4 linked regions of the Oryzias latipes genome follow. The protein of the gene in region 3 interacts with the protein of the main gene of each other region in a pairwise test. Links are inferred from orthologs where the notes say so. Each region holds a gene or a part of one and is shown on either strand. Other genes may lie near its edges. The genes, in order: E3 SUMO-protein ligase PIAS2, rbm15, nav2 and ing5.

Region 1 (4,306 bases), on a different chromosome or scaffold from region 3:
CCCACTGGCGTTGTGTCCTTGGGCAAGGGACTTGACCCTCCTGTCCTATAGTGTTGCCTTCACTGGTGTGTGAATGTCCCAGGGATGGTCAAAGGGGCTGTAGGCGTGAACTGGTAGCCACGCCTCTGTCAGTCCGCCCCAGGTGATGGTAGCTACTGATGTAGCCACAGCTGCCCCAGGGGCAGCTGTGGCTACATCAGTAGCTACCATCACCAAGGATGAATGAATGACGGACACATCGTAAGAACTTTGAGCATCTGGAAAAGTGCAGATAAATCCAATTCCTTCTTATTATTATGGTCATCTCTTGAGTCAGAGGGAGCAGGTGAGGCACGTAGATGCTGAGATGAAACCCAAAACGGCCAACACTCCCTCCTCCTCTACAAAAACAGAAGCACAGACTGGAACCTGAGGAACTGCAGGGAAGGAAGACTGCGGGGTTACAGATGAAGGACTTGAGGAGGAGGAGCCGAGGTTCAGATAAGACCAGCTTCATGAGTGAGGAAGAGGCTCCAACAAGAGAAATCAAACAAGAACCTGTGTTTGGAAAAAGCTTAACTAGACCATTTATTGAGGTTTCAGACAGAACAGAAAAAGCAGCTTGTGGTTCAGTTCAGTTGGCTTCTGCTCTAAACCGGACCTCTGGTTCTGGCCGTTGGCGTGCAGAGATGCTCCGGGCTTCAGTCTGACTTAATTCAGTCATGTGATCACGGGAAGTGACGGGCATGCTTTCAGAGAGTGAACACCTGTTAACATCTCCACATACTTCCACAGACATCAATGCTGCTCATAGCTTTGGGGCAAACAGAGGATCAATCTCTGGAGTGGGAGGTAAACACGAGGAGAACCCACTGTCAGAACATTAGACATCAGAACATGCAGCCGAAGGGGAAACCTGAGATGTCCACGAGTCCAACCTGCTCGCAGGAACATACATGATCTCATCGCTGGAGCTCAGGAGCCTTTCTGAAAATAATAATGATGTGAGAAAAATAACAGCTGTAAAAGAAAAGTCTGAGAGTGAAGAGCTGGTGTTTAATGGACTTCTGGTTCCTGAGACGGAGCTTCTGCAGCTCTGAGGATGTAGTGCAGCCGCTGCTGTGGTCCTAAAGGAGGGGGGAGTCAGCAGGACCTCAGGTAAATGTGGATAAAGACACCTAAGAGTCAGCTCGCTTCCTCCAACCACAAGGTAATGCTCTTTAAGCCGAGAACAAAGTTCAGGCAGCTACTGCTGGACCAGCAGGACCCGTTCATGGACCACAGGCTGCACTCAGAACGCTTGACTCACCCTGGAATGACAAGAACATCTAGTCTGATTGATGTGGATGTCTGCTATCACACGCATCTGAAGTCCGTCTACAGCCTGCCTGTGATCCTCCTGCGGTCGGTTTACAGCCCGCCTGCGATTCTTCTGCGATCCGTCTGAGCCTGCTTGCAATCCTTCTGCCACTTGCCTGCAGCCTCCCAGCGGTCCATCTGCAGCCTGTCTACAGCATGCCTCGCTATCAGTCTGCAGTCCGTCTACAGCCTGCCTGCGATCCGTCTGCAGTCCCTCTACAGCCTGCCTGCGATCCGTCTGCAGTCCCTCTACAGCCTGCCTGCGATCCGTCTGCAGTCCGTCTACAGCCTGCCTGCGATCCGTCTGCAGTCCGTCTACAGCCTGCCTGCGATCCGTCTGCAGTCCCTCTACAGCCTGCCTGCGATCCGTCTGCAGTCCGTCTACAGCCTGCCTGCGATCCGTCTGCAGTCCGTCTACAGCCTGCTTGCGATCCTTCTGCCGCTTGCCTGCAGCCTCCCAGCGGTCCGCCTATAGTCCGTCTACAGCATGCCTGCGATCAGTCTGCAGTCCGTCTACAGCCTGCCTGCGATCCCTCTGCAGTCTGTCTACAGCCTGCCTGCGATCCGTCTGCAGCCTGCTTGCGATCCTTCTGCCGCTTGCCTGCAGCCTCCCAGGGGTCCGCCTGCAGTCCGTCTACAGCCTGCCTGCGATCCGTCTGCAGTCCGTCTACAGCCTGCCTGCGATCCGTCTGCAGTCCGTCTACAGCCTGCTTGCGATCCTTCTGCCGCTTGCCTGCAGCCTCCCAGCGGTCCGCCTATAGTCCGTCTACAGCATGCCTGCGATCAGTCTGCAGTCCGTCTACAGCCTGCCTGCGATCCCTCTGCAGTCTGTCTACAGCCTGCCTGCGATCCGTCTGCAGCCTGCTTGCGATCCTTCTGCCGCTTGCCTGCAGCCTCCCAGGGGTCCGCCTATAGTCCGTCTACAGCATGCCTGCGATCAGTCTACAGTCCGTCTACAGCCTGCCTGCGATCCGTCTGCAGTCCGTCTACAGCATGCCTGCGATCAGTCTGCAGTCTGTCTGCGGTTCGTCTGCGGCCTGCATGGAACAGGCTCGCATTACAGTCCTAAAATCAATTCTGTGTGCAATAACCCAACAAACATCCATTTGATGTCCCAGCCACAGAGGAGGCGGGCTTCCAGTTCCTCAGGTTAGCACATCTTAGTGCTGCTCAGAATGAGAGGAGCGTCCAATACTTGAACCTGAGCCGGTGTCAGAGCCCCAGAGTAGGGAGGGAGAACCTTTCATCCGGTGTGGAGTGTAGTGAACTCTCAGAGGCTTCAGTCTGTGCGGCCTGACAGTCCAAGCCCAGGACCAGGAGGAGAGCGGGCCGTTTTCAGTCCAGGGAGATGACATCCGACATGCTGCTGCTCACTCCTCCTCCTGCCCCACCTCCTCCTCCTCCTCCTGCGATGACCCGAGCCTCGTGGATGGAGCCGTCAGCGTGGAGGCTGCTGCCGTACAGACTGCTGGAGGAGGAGCTGCTGGCGGAGACGGTGGCGCTCTGAATGCTCTCCGTCAGGTTTCCCAGGAACATCTGCGGCCGGTAATGCTGAGCAGACAGAGGGCAGCGTCAGCGTCAACCACTTCTGATCCAATGATCCTTCAGGTATTTAGACTCAGTAAACTCAGTAAAAGTCAGACTGAAGCTCAGGTGTGGATCACTGTTACCCTGAAGGCAACAGAGACAACCAGGGTGACGTGAAGCATCCCTCCATGACCACATGGTTTTGAGTGGAAGGGGAGGGACTAGGGGTATAACGATGAATCGATTTATTCTCCTACGATCAACGATCCGTCTGAAGCAAGTTGTTAATCAAATCGACCAAAACCAAACGGCTTCTAAATGACATAAATAATAATCAATCTTGGAAAACGCCATTTTGGTTGACATAAGTTCATTTACCTGTGAGTCTGCTTGAATTAAAGAAAACAAATCCAGACCTGCAGAGGAGAAAACAGACAGACCGGTTAGATTCCCACCTGTGGACTTCCTGGAAACGTTACTTGTGGTTCAGAGGAGAAGACTCACTCTGCATGTCTGCAGGGATGGTGGCCAGGGCCGACGGGTGGTAAGGCACCGCATAGTCAGCGAGGGTGGAGCTGAGGTACGAGGGCGCGTCCAGGGTTGGCATGGTGGGCATGCGCACGGTGGGCTGGTACGCCAACACCCTGACAGGAAACCAGCACAGAGCGTTAGGTCAGCGGCCTTCAGCCTCATCCAGGCCATGCACCCTGACTATCAGCATCATTAGACAGCCGGTTGCTGAACCTTATGCATTCATTATTATTATTATGGTCTGTGGGAACAACGGTCACAATAAATCCATATTTGGAGTAAAGATTCCTGGTTTTTGTCTGTTGAAAAGATTTATTTTATTTTGAAGTCAAAGGCTTCTGTTTCCTCACTGGACTTTTTCTGCAAACAGAAAATTTCTAAATGTTTTTGTTTTTGTCAACTTTGCTAAATTGAGGGTTTGAATTCAGTGGAGACACTTTAAAAAAAAAAAAGTAGCGGATGTATTTTCAACTAAGACAAAATGTTGTGGTTTTTCAAAATGAAACGTCCCTCAGGATCAGATTATAATTAAAAACAGAAAAATGAAGGTCGTGTTTTGTTCCTCATAACTGTCCCGCAGACTGGTACCGGTCCGTGGACTACAACTTTGGAGAATGGGGGGAGAAGAAGACCAACCCGCCCCAAAAATGAGGCTTCGTGAAAGTGAAGAGGTTGATGGTCGTATCTGCTAGAACATGCCCCCCCCCCCCCCCCCCCCCACACACACACAGCAGAAGCTCATGACAGGTGACTCTTCATCCCTTCATGAACTGCAGCTGCTGCTTTCAGACCTTCGTGTTTCTGGAGGAAGTCAGGGAGAATCTGAGGGTAAAAACACTGCTTTCATTTTGGAGATGACAACAATGACTGTGTGACTGTAGTCTGAAGCGTAAACGTTAATGAGGGACGC
Region 2 (4,194 bases), on a different chromosome or scaffold from region 3:
AGAACACAGCATGCAATAATTACTGACAAACAGCAGACTTGTTTTTTCTTATATTCCACTTGAACATAGTGCATTGTGACTTTTTCTCTTTTTTTTTTTTTAAGATGCTCCACGAACCACAATCATGACCAGATAGTCTTCTTCGCTTTTTGCCAGAGCTTTTGCAGAGGAATCCAGGAATTGCTGAGAGAAATCACAGGGGGGGAAAGCATGAAGAACCCCTGTGTTGTCTTTATCTCTGCTCCCTCCCACAGGCAGACTGATGACCCCAGCTGCTTGTTTTTGGTTGAGGTAGGACACCAGGTTGCGAAGGGGCCGCTGGGTTGAGGCCATAGGATCAGATGAAGAGGAGTCCTCTGTGCTTCCAGGAACTGCCAACAGGATGGCGTAGCCGCCTGGACCGGCGACTTTGATGCGCCGAGACACCTCATCAAGCTTTGGCTGGTCCAGACGGAGACGCTGCGTGATCTTTAGCTCGCTCACCTGCCTTCCGGTTGAGCCGTCGATGAGCAGGTCGCTGGCGACGCCGTAGTCACCTTCTAGGAGATGCATGCTGGCTGGAAAGTTGCTGTTCTTCAGGAGCAGCATTCCGCGCCATGCCACAATGAGTTTGGTGCCATCAGGTTTGGATTGCTGGGCTCCTTTAGAGCTGCTTTCAGAGCGTTCTCTCTTGGCAGGCACTTTGCCACTGTCGCCCGCTTTGCGTTTCCGCTCACCAGCAGATGAGAGTCCTTTCTCAGAAAGACTCTGGCTTTTAACCCTTCGATCCGCCCCACCTCTTTCAAGGCTAATGACATGTTCTCTGGCTGGTGAGGCCGTTTCACTGTGCACAGGATGCTCAGAGTCACTGAAACGTCCTCCGTCTCTGCTGCTGCCCCCAGGACTGCCATCTGGAGAAGAACGTCTACGTCTCACTGTCCTCTCAGTGCTGTCAGGAGAGTGATCTAGGTGACGGCCATCCTCCAATAAGCGTCTCTTACGTCCTGGTTCTCGCCCTTGCAGCTCACGCTCCAAAGACCAAGGCTCTCGAGTTCTCCGGTCGCGTTCCAAATGTTCCAGAGGCTCAAAGGGGGATCCCCGGACCCGCTCACGAATGGCCGGGTTGGGCCACTCCGTTGCTGGAAAGAGTTCTCTGTCCCTGAAGTGAAGTGGAGGTGGAGTCCGATCTCTGACTCTCAGAGGTTCAGGCGTGGCGCGGTGGACAAACGAGTCAGCCACCATGTCAAACGGTGGAATAGGGAGAGGCTGCAAGAACTGCTGCTGGTACCGGTGCTCAGTGTCTGCGAAATCCACCCGAAGTCTTCTCTCTGGGCCTCCCAGCGGAAAGCCTCTCATGTGTGTCCATGCTGCTTGAGCAGCATCTAAACTTTCATACTGGATGTAGGCCCAAGTGTCACCTTTTCTGTAGTCAATGGTCCTTATAGTGCCAAAGCGATCAAATTCTCTGGCCAGGGCAGCTAAAGGAACCCACGGTCCAAGTCCACCGACCCACAAACGGGTCGTGGGTGTTGCTTTTCCGTAACCGATTTTTATAGGGTTGCGACCCACTATTTTTCCAGACATGCTAAGCTTAGCACGATGAGCCATGTCAAGGTTCTCAAACTTAAGAAATCCATATGTGCTGGTCTGTCCTCGTGATGGTCTCTTGATGTCCACCTCTGTTATGACTCCAAACCTGTCGAAAGCCCGCCTGAGGTCTGCTTCTGCAATGTTTATGTCCAAGTTGCCTAAAAACAAAGTCCTGTTTGCTCTTTGGTCGTCTTCCGGAGATATTAAATCCTCTTCACGAAAAGCTGCTCGCTCTGCAAGGAAAGCTGGACGTGCCCTGGCTTCAAACAGGGCGAACTCTCTGTCCCGGTCCAGTTCTCTGGGCAGAGGGGGCGGAGGGGGAGGAGGGAGCCGTCCCAAAGCCAGCTGCTGCAGCCGGTAGTCTCTGTAACCCAGGCCGGTGGGCGACAGGGGTCTCTGCAAGTGTCTGTGACTTTGTGCTGCGCTGTACAAGTCCCTCTCCACGGGGGAGCGGCTTCTCCTCCTGCTCGTGTAAACGGCCTCGATCTTCAGCGGCCGGTCGTAGAGCACGAGCCGGCCTCTGGCGTGTTTAGCAGCCCTGGCGTCCTCCGGCTTCCTGAAGTTAACGAAAGCAATCCGTTCGTCGTTGCTGCGACTAATTTTGACGCTCACGTCGCCAAACTTTTTGAATTCATGAAAAAGCCCATCTTCTATATCCTCCTCGCTCAGCTGATTCCCAAGGTCGCTGATTTTGAGTGTTTTGTACTCACTCTCGGTGCTGGGCGGCGGAACACGCTGCTCCGCGCGCGAAGAGGCTCGCGGGGAGGCTAGGTCTAGCGACAGGCTCAGGTTGTGGTTTTTACCCACGGAGCTGGAAGCAGCAGACTGACAGCTGTGATTATTTCCAGTCCGACTATGGCCCTCAAAATCTCTGTCCCTTTTCTCACCCAACAAGCTCCGTCTCGTTGAGCCGCTGTCGCTTTTGGACGAACTGTTTCCATTATTACTCCCACTGGAAACGGAGAGAGCCCCCATTTTCTTGCTGGTCGGGTGGCATCCTCCCCTCTCTCGAATGTCGTCCAAGGCCCGGGACCGTTTTTTAATCGGCGACCGCTCCTTTCCTTTCATTGCAGCCCACGAAGAGTAAACTCTTTGTGGTAACTGGCTTTTTCCTGCACTCCTTCCACAAAATAATGTAGAAAATATCCAATACGTTCAAAGAATTTATTTACCGACCCTGCGGCAAAACAACAACAGTCGCCATTTTGTTAAGATTTGTGAGAAGACCCGCCTCCATGCGCTGATTGGCCGGTGTTTGGGGGGCGGCGATTGGTTAAAACCTTTTAAAATCCCGTCAATCACGCACACAGCGATGGATTAAAAAATGGGTCATTTCAGAATAAACCTATTTTAAATAATCCACATGCAAAACTAAGTGAAAATAATTACTGAAAATAATTTAAAAAATGCCAAATAAGCTCAATGTACCCCCTAAAATGCATTTTTTCTTGTCCCGTCCCCCATTGTCCAAATTAAATCTTCAATAAAAGCAGTTAAAATTAAATTTTAGATTCAGTTTTTGGTATATCTTGTTTTGATTGGTGTTTTATGTAACCGTGGGATTTTTTTAAATAAAAGAAGTATTTCAAATATTATTTATGATCAATACAATGTGTTTCCCACCGAATCCACACAATTCCTTTTACCATAACAGGTAAGAGGGTTAGAATATAGCAAAGAGTGATATGCTGGACTTGACATCATCAAACAGTATTCAAAAAGAATGGGTAGAGCAAAAGTTACGTGGATCTTTTATTTTTAACACATAGTTATCCTAGATTGAATGTCTCACTCCGCCTCATGCAACCCTGTTTCCCTATAATCAGAGTAAGACAATTATTGTTATTGTTGTTGCTTTTTTATGAGTAAGTAAGCAATCAAATTAGCATGTAAAGTAGCAACTGAGAAAAACAAGATATCACCATTCATTCTGGGGTGGTCAGAAATGCAAAAAGGCATGCCATTGAAATCACATTAATTTTCTTATTGGTACTCAGTGACAGCTAAACAACTAGCGTCTACTCCTGAGAGAAAGTCAATATTAATACATGTTTGCAACCCTGTTACTTGCAAAAATTGATAACAAGGTTGCATCAAGTCTTGTCATCATCAATATAATGTCATAAATATTTCGCAGTTGATCTGTAAGCAAAGTTAATCAAGCCTTTGACAGATATTACCTTTTATTGACGATTATATAGCAGAGAATTAGAAAAGTCAAAGTTTGCTCTTCATGAATTTTGCAGCCCAAATGTCCTCCAGTTCTGGAATGACCCAAATATCAACATATTAACTGAATATTAAAAGATACAAACAAAAACACATGGACATGTTCCATATGATTTATTTTCTAAATCGGAAGCCTCTTTGCAAGTGTCCAGAAAGTAGTGAAACTGGAAGTATGATTTAAAATTTTTATTCATTTTTCATTTTGTTTTACTGTATGTATGTGTGTGTGTTCTGAATTTGAGGTGTAAAGTGTATCAGGCATCATTCGAATTTGCTTTTAACGGAAGACAGGTGTTCTTTAATGTACCACAAGATGGAAGTGGTCAAAAGGTCTGAAGGAAAAATAGGAAGTCAAATTTACCCCAAGCCTTGTTTGATCAAGCACACTTTTTTCAA
Region 3 (3,562 bases):
TTATCTGTTTGCTCAGCTGTTGGACAGGACAAGTTTAAAAAAATCAACATAAAAAAGACAAGTTTACCAAAACAAAGCTCCATCAATGTTATTAAACTACAACCAGAGTATCATTACTTTTTAAAACTAAAGTCTCCCATAAGATTGTTTTTCTTAAACATTTAAGATTGTTATTTTGCCCTTTAGGTTGTTTACATTTTTTTGTAGTCATTGGTCTCAATGTATGACATAAGCTTACCCGCTGGTGACATCATCAGTGCGCACAGCATTCTTGCTCAACACGTCTCCGTCGCTCATGTATCCCGTCACCTCCATGGCGACCCCGTCCAGCTCAATGTCCCCCGCAGCTCTGTCGCCGAGGTCCAAGCTGCACAGAGCTCCTCCCCTGCCAGCCAGCTGTCTCCGGAGGTGCCCAGGGTACAGGTAGCGTCCTGCCTGTCCGCCAGCTATCCGAGCACCGTAGCCATTGCCCAATGAAGGAGCGTCGCCTGCCTGCAGACGAGGGCTGGACTGGCCCAACCTCCATGGCGACAGTGAGGAGCGGGCAGAAGAAAGGCTGAGGATACTTCGACCACCTGCGCTGTTGTTATTGCTGCCTCCACTGCTGCTGATGTCTGTGGTGATGCTGCCATCAAAGGTGGTTTCTAAGCTGCTGACACAGAAAGAGAGGAGGTTTAGGATGTAGAATTTAGGAAGCTTAATATGTTCTCACTTACTGAGAAAAATTCCTACAGTTAAATGAGGTTAATGAAAATTGGGTTTTTATTATGTTCTTGTGACATTTTTCTGATGATGGAGGACATATATAGAGAAAATTAAGCTCAAACTTGCATTTCTGAGTATTTCTTTATTAAAATAATTGTAAATCGGGATCAGATGAAAATCAAATGCTGTTTGAAAAATGTCCTATTTGTTACACAGAAAATACTCTAAATGGGCCTCAAGCTCCCTGTTCCACTTCATTCTGATGCATCCACTTGCAAACAAATAGTTCCATGTCCGTCTTTGTTTTCCTCGTCTGAGCTGGAAACAGATTACTCAGAGTGGAAGGGGACGTAGTTTCTCCGCACCAACAGTCCTGCCCGCAACAATTTCTAATGAACAACTAGAACTATGTTCTAGAAAACAACACGTTTTGTTTGTGGCTAAAAAAGCAAAATCATACTTAGGAGACACTTTTAAAATATGACCAAAAGATGACCAGAGTGGGACTTTTAGGTGAACAGGCAAGTGTTTTATCAGACTAAGGTTGCGTTTAAAGTCCTTCATTGCTCACTACATAGTGTGTTCGCCATTTTGCAGTGCTGTCCGAAACTACAATTCCAAAATTGAGTGCCCTAGAAATTTCCCACAAGTCTCTGGGAAAAACCAGAGTGCATTGATGCTCACTAGATTGGCGACTATAGACCACAATGGATTGATCGATTTTTCATGTGCAAATATATGAATTTGAATATATTTTTTTAAACCATCCATGTTTTTCACCAAAACACAGTGGAGTTTAAATAGTGGATAAATTTTATTTGTAAAATGTTTGTATTCATTAGGTTTTTACTTTTAGAAATTGGTGATGTCATATTTACTATAAAAATAAATATATATATATATATATATATATATATATATATATATATATATATATATATATATATATATATATATATTCTGAATTACTTTTAAAATCTAGGGCACTAGATGGTCCTGCACTATATAGTTTTTTAGTAGTCTGGGAGCAGGGAGGGAATTCAGACATAACCTTAATGTTAAAAAATAGAAGACAACAGCTATCTTTAGTTTTATGCAACGTCAGACATCAGAGCTCCGTCCTGTGATCAAAGAGGTTACGAGACAGGAGAGTTTATACCCGCAAATAAAGACCATATCTACTGACTCATTCTCTGCTGTTCTGAATTCAGTCATTTGAGGCACAGCACTCTATGAAACACAAGAGTTTTGTTTCCAGAGCAGAAGAATTCATGAAGTTCTGAAGTTTTGAACACACAAAGCTTACCACAGCTAATTATAATCAAAAATCCCCTCACGCCGTATGCCGCTAATTTGCAATGTACCTTTTAATCTAGGACTACACTTAATTTAGCATCACCTGGAAAGGAAGAATATATTTTTATATAATTGGAAACAAAATTAGGCATTAAGGGGTTAATACAATGTTCCTTGACTGAAACAAAAAAAAACAATTTCATTAAGAATTCTTTTTATCGACTGACAGTGAGATCAGTTTCTTGCGAGAAGATGACTCGGACTTTACCTATGCGTGACCTGAGTTCCTCGGAGACTGGACATGGTCTCCTCCAGGTTTTGCCGCAGGTCTGCGATGTTTTTGACAGTACGCAGCCGTCTCGTTTCTGGATCTTCACCTGGGTTGCATGCATAAAACAATTTTAGAAAACATCAATTGACAACTGACTTCCATGCACTTGCTGCAGCGACTTCCTACCTGAAAGGTCTTCCATGGGGGTATGGTTGGTTTTGGTGCAGGAGGCGTCTCCACTTCCTCCCCAAGAACTGTTCCCGCCGTCCTCTGTTCCGTCTTCATCTGTTTGGGATCTGAAAAAGGACATTGTGCAAGCAATGAAAGTCCTGAATCGGAATTACTAAGAACTTCGTGGGAACCTAATTTTCAGAAAGTTGCCACAAAGGAGGGATAAACCTGATTACGACTCCAATCTGCAGCGTTTAGGTCTTATGACTGTGTTCCACAACAAATGCCTGCTAAGGCATCAGAAAGATTTGTTGTAGAAGGATATTTCGACAGAGCTTTTCCATTGCACTGCCTGTTTCCCTTTCAGACATCTAAGTGCCTCGGCTGAACACAGCTGTTCGTCCAGAATTTGTCCTAATGTAATTCTCTATGACCGCGAGCCAGAAGGAGTTACTGGAGGCTGCTCCTCTGAAAACCTCTGACTCACTAAAAAAATAGATTTTGATCTGTTTGTTGTCAGAAATTGTTGTTTTATGTATGTAAAGACACACCACACATGTACATTCCTGAATGTAGATGTTCCGATATATATACTTGTAAGTGTATTAATACTTGTAAGTGTATTGTTGTGCGACAAGTGTGTGAAGTTTGCAGTTCAAAAGTGTTTGAGGACAGAGAGAATAAACACAAACGGCATCAGGAGGACTGATGAGGACTTTGGTCAAAGAAAAAAAAATAGAACTATTTTATTTAGGAAGTAAACACCAGGTTTTTACATAAATTTTTTTTTTTTTTTTCAATCTTAGTGTTCTCAGACGCAGAGCTTTACATTCATCTGTGAAATCTAAAAGGTTAACTGTTTCAATGAAGATAGATGCTTTACACCAGTGGAGGCTGCGGTACCGGTCTGTGGGACAGTTGGTATTATCAAAATTTGAACTGTAATTGTTACATTCGTCCATTACTGACAAAAGTAATTAAATTACAGTAATTTTTTACTTTGTAATCCATCACCTCCAACACTTTGCATTCCTACAGTTGCTCCCGCACACCATTATATTAATGCATAATCTTCAACAACCGTCTGATGTTACAAGATTGCTGCTAATAAAGTTGTTC
Region 4 (4,084 bases), on a different chromosome or scaffold from region 3:
ACCTGGAGGCGGTCTCCCAGGGCCAACTAGAGAAGCTTCACATCCTCCTCCAGGATCACCTACGTGGTTTGAGCCTGAAGCACAGCCTCTCCACCTTCCACCTGGACCCGGACGAGGACCTCAACAAACTAGATGACAAGGAACTAGCTCGCAAAAAAGCTCAAATGGACAGAGAGTTTGAGAGAAATAGGAAGCACAAGGATGATCCAGGCTTTGTTTATGACCTGGAGGTGGATTTTGAAAAGGCCCCTCAGGAGAACTGTAGCTGGGATGAGTCAGATGACGGATTTTAAAGCTCCCCGCCAAGGAACACCAACTCCAAAATCACACTAAAATAAAATCTCCATAGGCCTCTACATCTTCCATTTAATCCAATGACTGTAAACCAGAACACGTCAGAAGAAATTATCTCAAGCTCCCTTCTTGTCAAAGTTACCACTGACCGAATGAAGGGAAGTGAATCAACAGCAGCGTCTTGAAATGCAACACAAATAAAGACTAAAAGGACCGAAATTGTGATTACCAGTGAAAATTTATTTGTTATAAAATACAGAGTTGAAGAAAATACATAAACTTTGGTTCAAACATTTGTGGCTTACAAAACATGATTTTCAGTCAAACATTAGGAAGAATCTAAACTTCTATTAAATAAAATCTGAATGTATAGTAGTATTTCAACAATAAAACAAATCTCTTTGGAAACATTTCTACAAAATATTGACTTGTATAAAATATATAGTTCCATGGAAGGTTGGACAGTGTTTCCCTTCCATCTCTATTGGCCCGACAGACTTTTCAATGGTTACGTGTTACAGCAAAGGTTCATGAACTACAGATCACACCCAGCCTGCAGGATCATACTTCTTCAGGGTACTTTCTTCAAAGTGCTTGAATACCTCATATTCAGGTGACCGGAGACACCCACAGTACCACAATACATTCAAAAATGTCGTAGGCGTTTTGACTTGGACACAGTCTGAGTTCTAACTTTGTGCTTGTCTTGGTGTGAGCGAATTGAAAAAGAACAGAAGTAGTACTTGTTTTAAGCACCACATTTAACTGCAGTGTAAATGTTAATCCAAAGGAGGTAGTAACAAAAAAAAAAAACATCATTCCTTTTTTTCCCCACTATTGCAGTTTAGATTAACATTGTTTAGATTTGACATTTTTCAGCAGGCATCGTCTTTCTGGTTAGAAAAAGCGTTTTTTCAGGAGCCGACACTTCAAGTATGCTTCAACCAGAATGTGGGATTTAAACTTTTTTAAGTCGAGTGGAAAGGTATACATACACAGCTTATTACTCACCAGATTGTATTCTAACCTCGCCCTGAGCACAGAAGGCGTTTACTTTAAAACCACTGTGGATATACCATGAAGCCAGTATGGGGAAGGAGATTGATCTGAATCAAGCCCAACAATCCTACCGTTCTCTTGGTAATTTGTAAGCACACGTGACTATGCTATGTTATTTCATAAAAGCAAAACATTTGAGCATTCCTGACAGTAACTTTTACTTTTTCTTCCGGTCTTGGGTGCACCTCGGACAAAACCTGCCATGTCAAAGGAAGACAGAGTTTAGACACCAGTCGATGAGATGAACATTCAAATGATCAATCAGTTATTTGTCCGTAAGGAGCAATGCAGCTTCCCCCTGACATACCAACAGTGTTCAGACCCCAAAACAAAATCAAAACTGTAGCTGTTAAAAAAAAAAAACATTCACAAACCGTCTTAGAAAGACTGAGACCAGCAGGTCAGGTTTTTGGGGATTTCTCTTTGAACCAGAGAGGATCAAGCATTCCCAAACTCTGGAACGCTCTGTCCTAACGCTTCATCCACCTGGCTGAGGCTTATGAAACATTCCTAACGTCTTGTCTGTTGCTGTGATTGTGGAACTAGATGTTATTGAGCTTTAACTATAGCTAGTTCACACTGAAAATGCTGGTTCCATAGGGAAACATGAGTATGATTGGGGTTGTTCTGTTCTTTTGCCGTTCGCACCAAACGCTTCAGAAACCTGTCACTCCTTCAATCATCCAGAGGTTTTGTTCCGTTTAAATGCAGGAGCTGAGCGGCAGATGGCTTTGTCATGCAAGCGTTCTGTTGGAAAAAGCCAGATTCCCTGGGAGAACTCCCACGCTTGAAACAGCTGGCTGGTAGCATGTAAAAAAAAAAGGGGGGGGGGGCGCCTTTATTGTGTTGGAGAAAGAGAGTCCCTTACCATTTAAACCTGGTTCCTTTATGATGGTGGGGGCATAAAGTGTTACTACTTCACACTAAAGACCCCACTCAAGTGTTTTTCAATCCAACATAATCATATGCCATCTGCTAAAAGGGCAGATCTCTAGCTGCGGTTACAGCCATCATGTAAACACGCTGTTCGGAATACTCAGTACTGATCAGACTCATTCGGATCAAAATTTCTTTCCGACTGAAATAGGTGGGTTATGCCGATTGTTGATCTGATCGTGCTGCATACAAACAGTTTATTGTGACCGTGATCGCTGTCTTTGGTCATGCGTAGACGGTATGGCGCTCTAGAGGAGTCTCTCAAAGAACTATCGCGATATATCTGCGAAACGATCTTTTCTAACACCCCTAGTGTTGCGGCTCCCTGTGCTTTCATTTCTGTGGGAAACTGATCCAAATGGCTCTTTGAGAGGTTCAGGTTGCTGAGCCCTGGTCTGAGCAGAGCAGCCGGACTTGTAGCTTCATGTTTGCGGACAGGGGAGGGCGCATTGTTACGGTGTGCGCTCTGGAGGAGGCTTTGGACCGCAGTCCGGACTCAGGAGAACCGTGTCTCCGAAATGCAGTCCAGTCCTGAGAAACCGTGTCACCAATCATGTGAATTCATGTTTACCGGCATGTTCAGAAATAATAAAGGCTGATTTTATTCCCACGTTTAGAAGATCCTCTCGCTCTACGCTGCAGCTTTGTTTGTTTACAACAGAACTCAATATTTATTCTTGTACAGTAGTTTCCGGTATTTTCTACAGTCCTGCACATGTCCATTTATTCTGACAAAAAGTGTGGCGTATGTAAACGTTTGTCATAATCAGATATAGTTATTCTGAGCCATGTACACAGTTCAGTTCTAATCCAATCTTTGATCCGATCAAAGACGTTTTGCACGTGGAACCACAGCGACTGTCTCAACTATCTGAGAACTCAGAAGATCATGAACCGACCACAGGGAAGTGGGTTAACTTGATTCTGAAGTGGTTAGACGGATCAACTCACCATTTTCCTTTTGGTTTAGTGGCGAGGTCAACGCAGGCAAAGTGGAACCACTCGATGGGACACTAACAAAAAGACAGGTTGAGATCAAGTGTGGGTAAATTTAAGGATAAAAGAAAATATACAAATAAAAAACCCTACATCTGGGTTGTCACATCCAATCATCTCTCCATATGAGACTTGGTGGCACAGGCAGTAGGTGGGTTCATTGGGATCGACTGGCATGTCCAGAACGTCTGACGGCTGCATTGGCAGGAGAGCGTCGCTCAAGTCTTGGCTGAAACATTCATGAAGGGAGGGGTGTGCCGAAAAACACAAAGATGAAAAGAGGAAAGTAAAAACCGTGAGAGCCCCCCGAGCTTTACAAAAACCAACATTACCTGATTTTCATCTTCTTCTTTTTGGGAGAGTCGTCGTCAGAACCTTTCTTTCCCCGTCCTCTGGATCCACGCTTGTCCCGCTGCCCCCGTGAGTCACCTTCTGAGTCAAACGTCACAAACAATAAGCCCCCCAATGCAAACTTTGGCCGAGAAGGTTCCAGCGGGAGGATTTACTTTTCAAGGTTCTGCTGTCGGTGCTGTCGTAGCCGGTCAGCTCCAGCTTCTCCTTCAGCTCGTTCTCAAAGCGGGCCAGGTCTGCATCCAGCCTGCGGATGTGTTTGTCCACCTTTAGAACAGAAGAAGACGTCTTTCAAACGGCTCTGTTCACAAGGCATGCTTGAGAGGAAAAAGGTGGCGTGTTGTCAGGCGTGTCATGAAGGCTCACCATTTCATACGTTTGCATGGCGAGCTGAACTTTGTCGTCACTGAACTCCTTGCACTTGCTGTAGGCGTTCTGAATCTTCTGT

The links.
Region 1: the proteins of nav2 (region 3) and E3 SUMO-protein ligase PIAS2 interact in binary tests that used the Homo sapiens proteins (3 or more experiments, as listed by UniProt). The two-hybrid records come from large-scale screens. The link is inferred for Oryzias latipes from reciprocal best matches to the Homo sapiens genes NAV2 and PIAS2.
Region 2: the proteins of nav2 (region 3) and rbm15 interact in binary tests that used the Homo sapiens proteins (3 or more experiments, as listed by UniProt). The two-hybrid records come from large-scale screens. The link is inferred for Oryzias latipes from reciprocal best matches to the Homo sapiens genes NAV2 and RBM15.
Region 4: the proteins of nav2 (region 3) and ing5 interact in binary tests that used the Homo sapiens proteins (3 or more experiments, as listed by UniProt). The two-hybrid records come from large-scale screens. The link is inferred for Oryzias latipes from reciprocal best matches to the Homo sapiens genes NAV2 and ING5.

The regions. Positions count from the first base shown.
Region 1 is NC_019867.2:30,488,375-30,492,680, reverse strand, and holds the end of E3 SUMO-protein ligase PIAS2, read right to left. Parts: intron 3,510-4,306; coding exon 3,370-3,509; intron 3,282-3,369; coding exon 3,244-3,281; intron 2,890-3,243; coding exon 2,674-2,889; 3' UTR 2,397-2,673; coding exon of another isoform or gene 2,336-2,396; 3' UTR 2,226-2,335; coding exon of another isoform or gene 2,149-2,225; 3' UTR 2,094-2,148; coding exon of another isoform or gene 1,984-2,093; 3' UTR 1,698-1,983; coding exon of another isoform or gene 1,271-1,697; 3' UTR 543-1,270; downstream 1-542. Other genes in the region: uncharacterized protein LOC110015563, read right to left, coding at 1,271-1,697, 1,984-2,093, 2,149-2,225, 2,336-2,396. UniProt on the Homo sapiens protein: Functions as an E3-type small ubiquitin-like modifier (SUMO) ligase, stabilizing the interaction between UBE2I and the substrate, and as a SUMO-tethering factor.
Region 2 is NC_019865.2:10,859,733-10,863,926, reverse strand, and holds the start of rbm15 (putative RNA-binding protein 15), read right to left. Parts: upstream 2,802-4,194; 5' UTR 2,638-2,801; coding exon 100-2,637; 3' UTR 1-99. UniProt on the Homo sapiens protein: RNA-binding protein that acts as a key regulator of N6-methyladenosine (m6A) methylation of RNAs, thereby regulating different processes, such as hematopoietic cell homeostasis, alternative splicing of mRNAs and X chromosome inactivation mediated by Xist RNA.
Region 3 is NC_019861.2:6,357,101-6,360,662, reverse strand, and holds part of nav2 (neuron navigator 2), read right to left. Parts: intron 2,569-3,562; coding exon 2,459-2,568; intron 2,379-2,458; coding exon 2,270-2,378; intron 653-2,269; coding exon 239-652; intron 1-238. UniProt on the Homo sapiens protein: Possesses 3' to 5' helicase activity and exonuclease activity. Involved in neuronal development, specifically in the development of different sensory organs.
Region 4 is NC_019862.2:3,240,724-3,244,807, reverse strand, and holds the end of ing5 (inhibitor of growth protein 5), read right to left. Parts: coding exon 4,003-4,084; intron 3,904-4,002; coding exon 3,792-3,903; intron 3,718-3,791; coding exon 3,618-3,717; intron 3,515-3,617; coding exon 3,379-3,514; intron 3,303-3,378; coding exon 3,241-3,302; intron 1,551-3,240; coding exon 1,511-1,550; 3' UTR 514-1,510; downstream 1-513. Other genes in the region: cep19 (centrosomal protein of 19 kDa), read left to right, coding at 1-293. UniProt on the Homo sapiens protein: Component of the HBO1 complex, which specifically mediates acetylation of histone H3 at 'Lys-14' (H3K14ac) and, to a lower extent, acetylation of histone H4. Component of the MOZ/MORF complex which has a histone H3 acetyltransferase activity.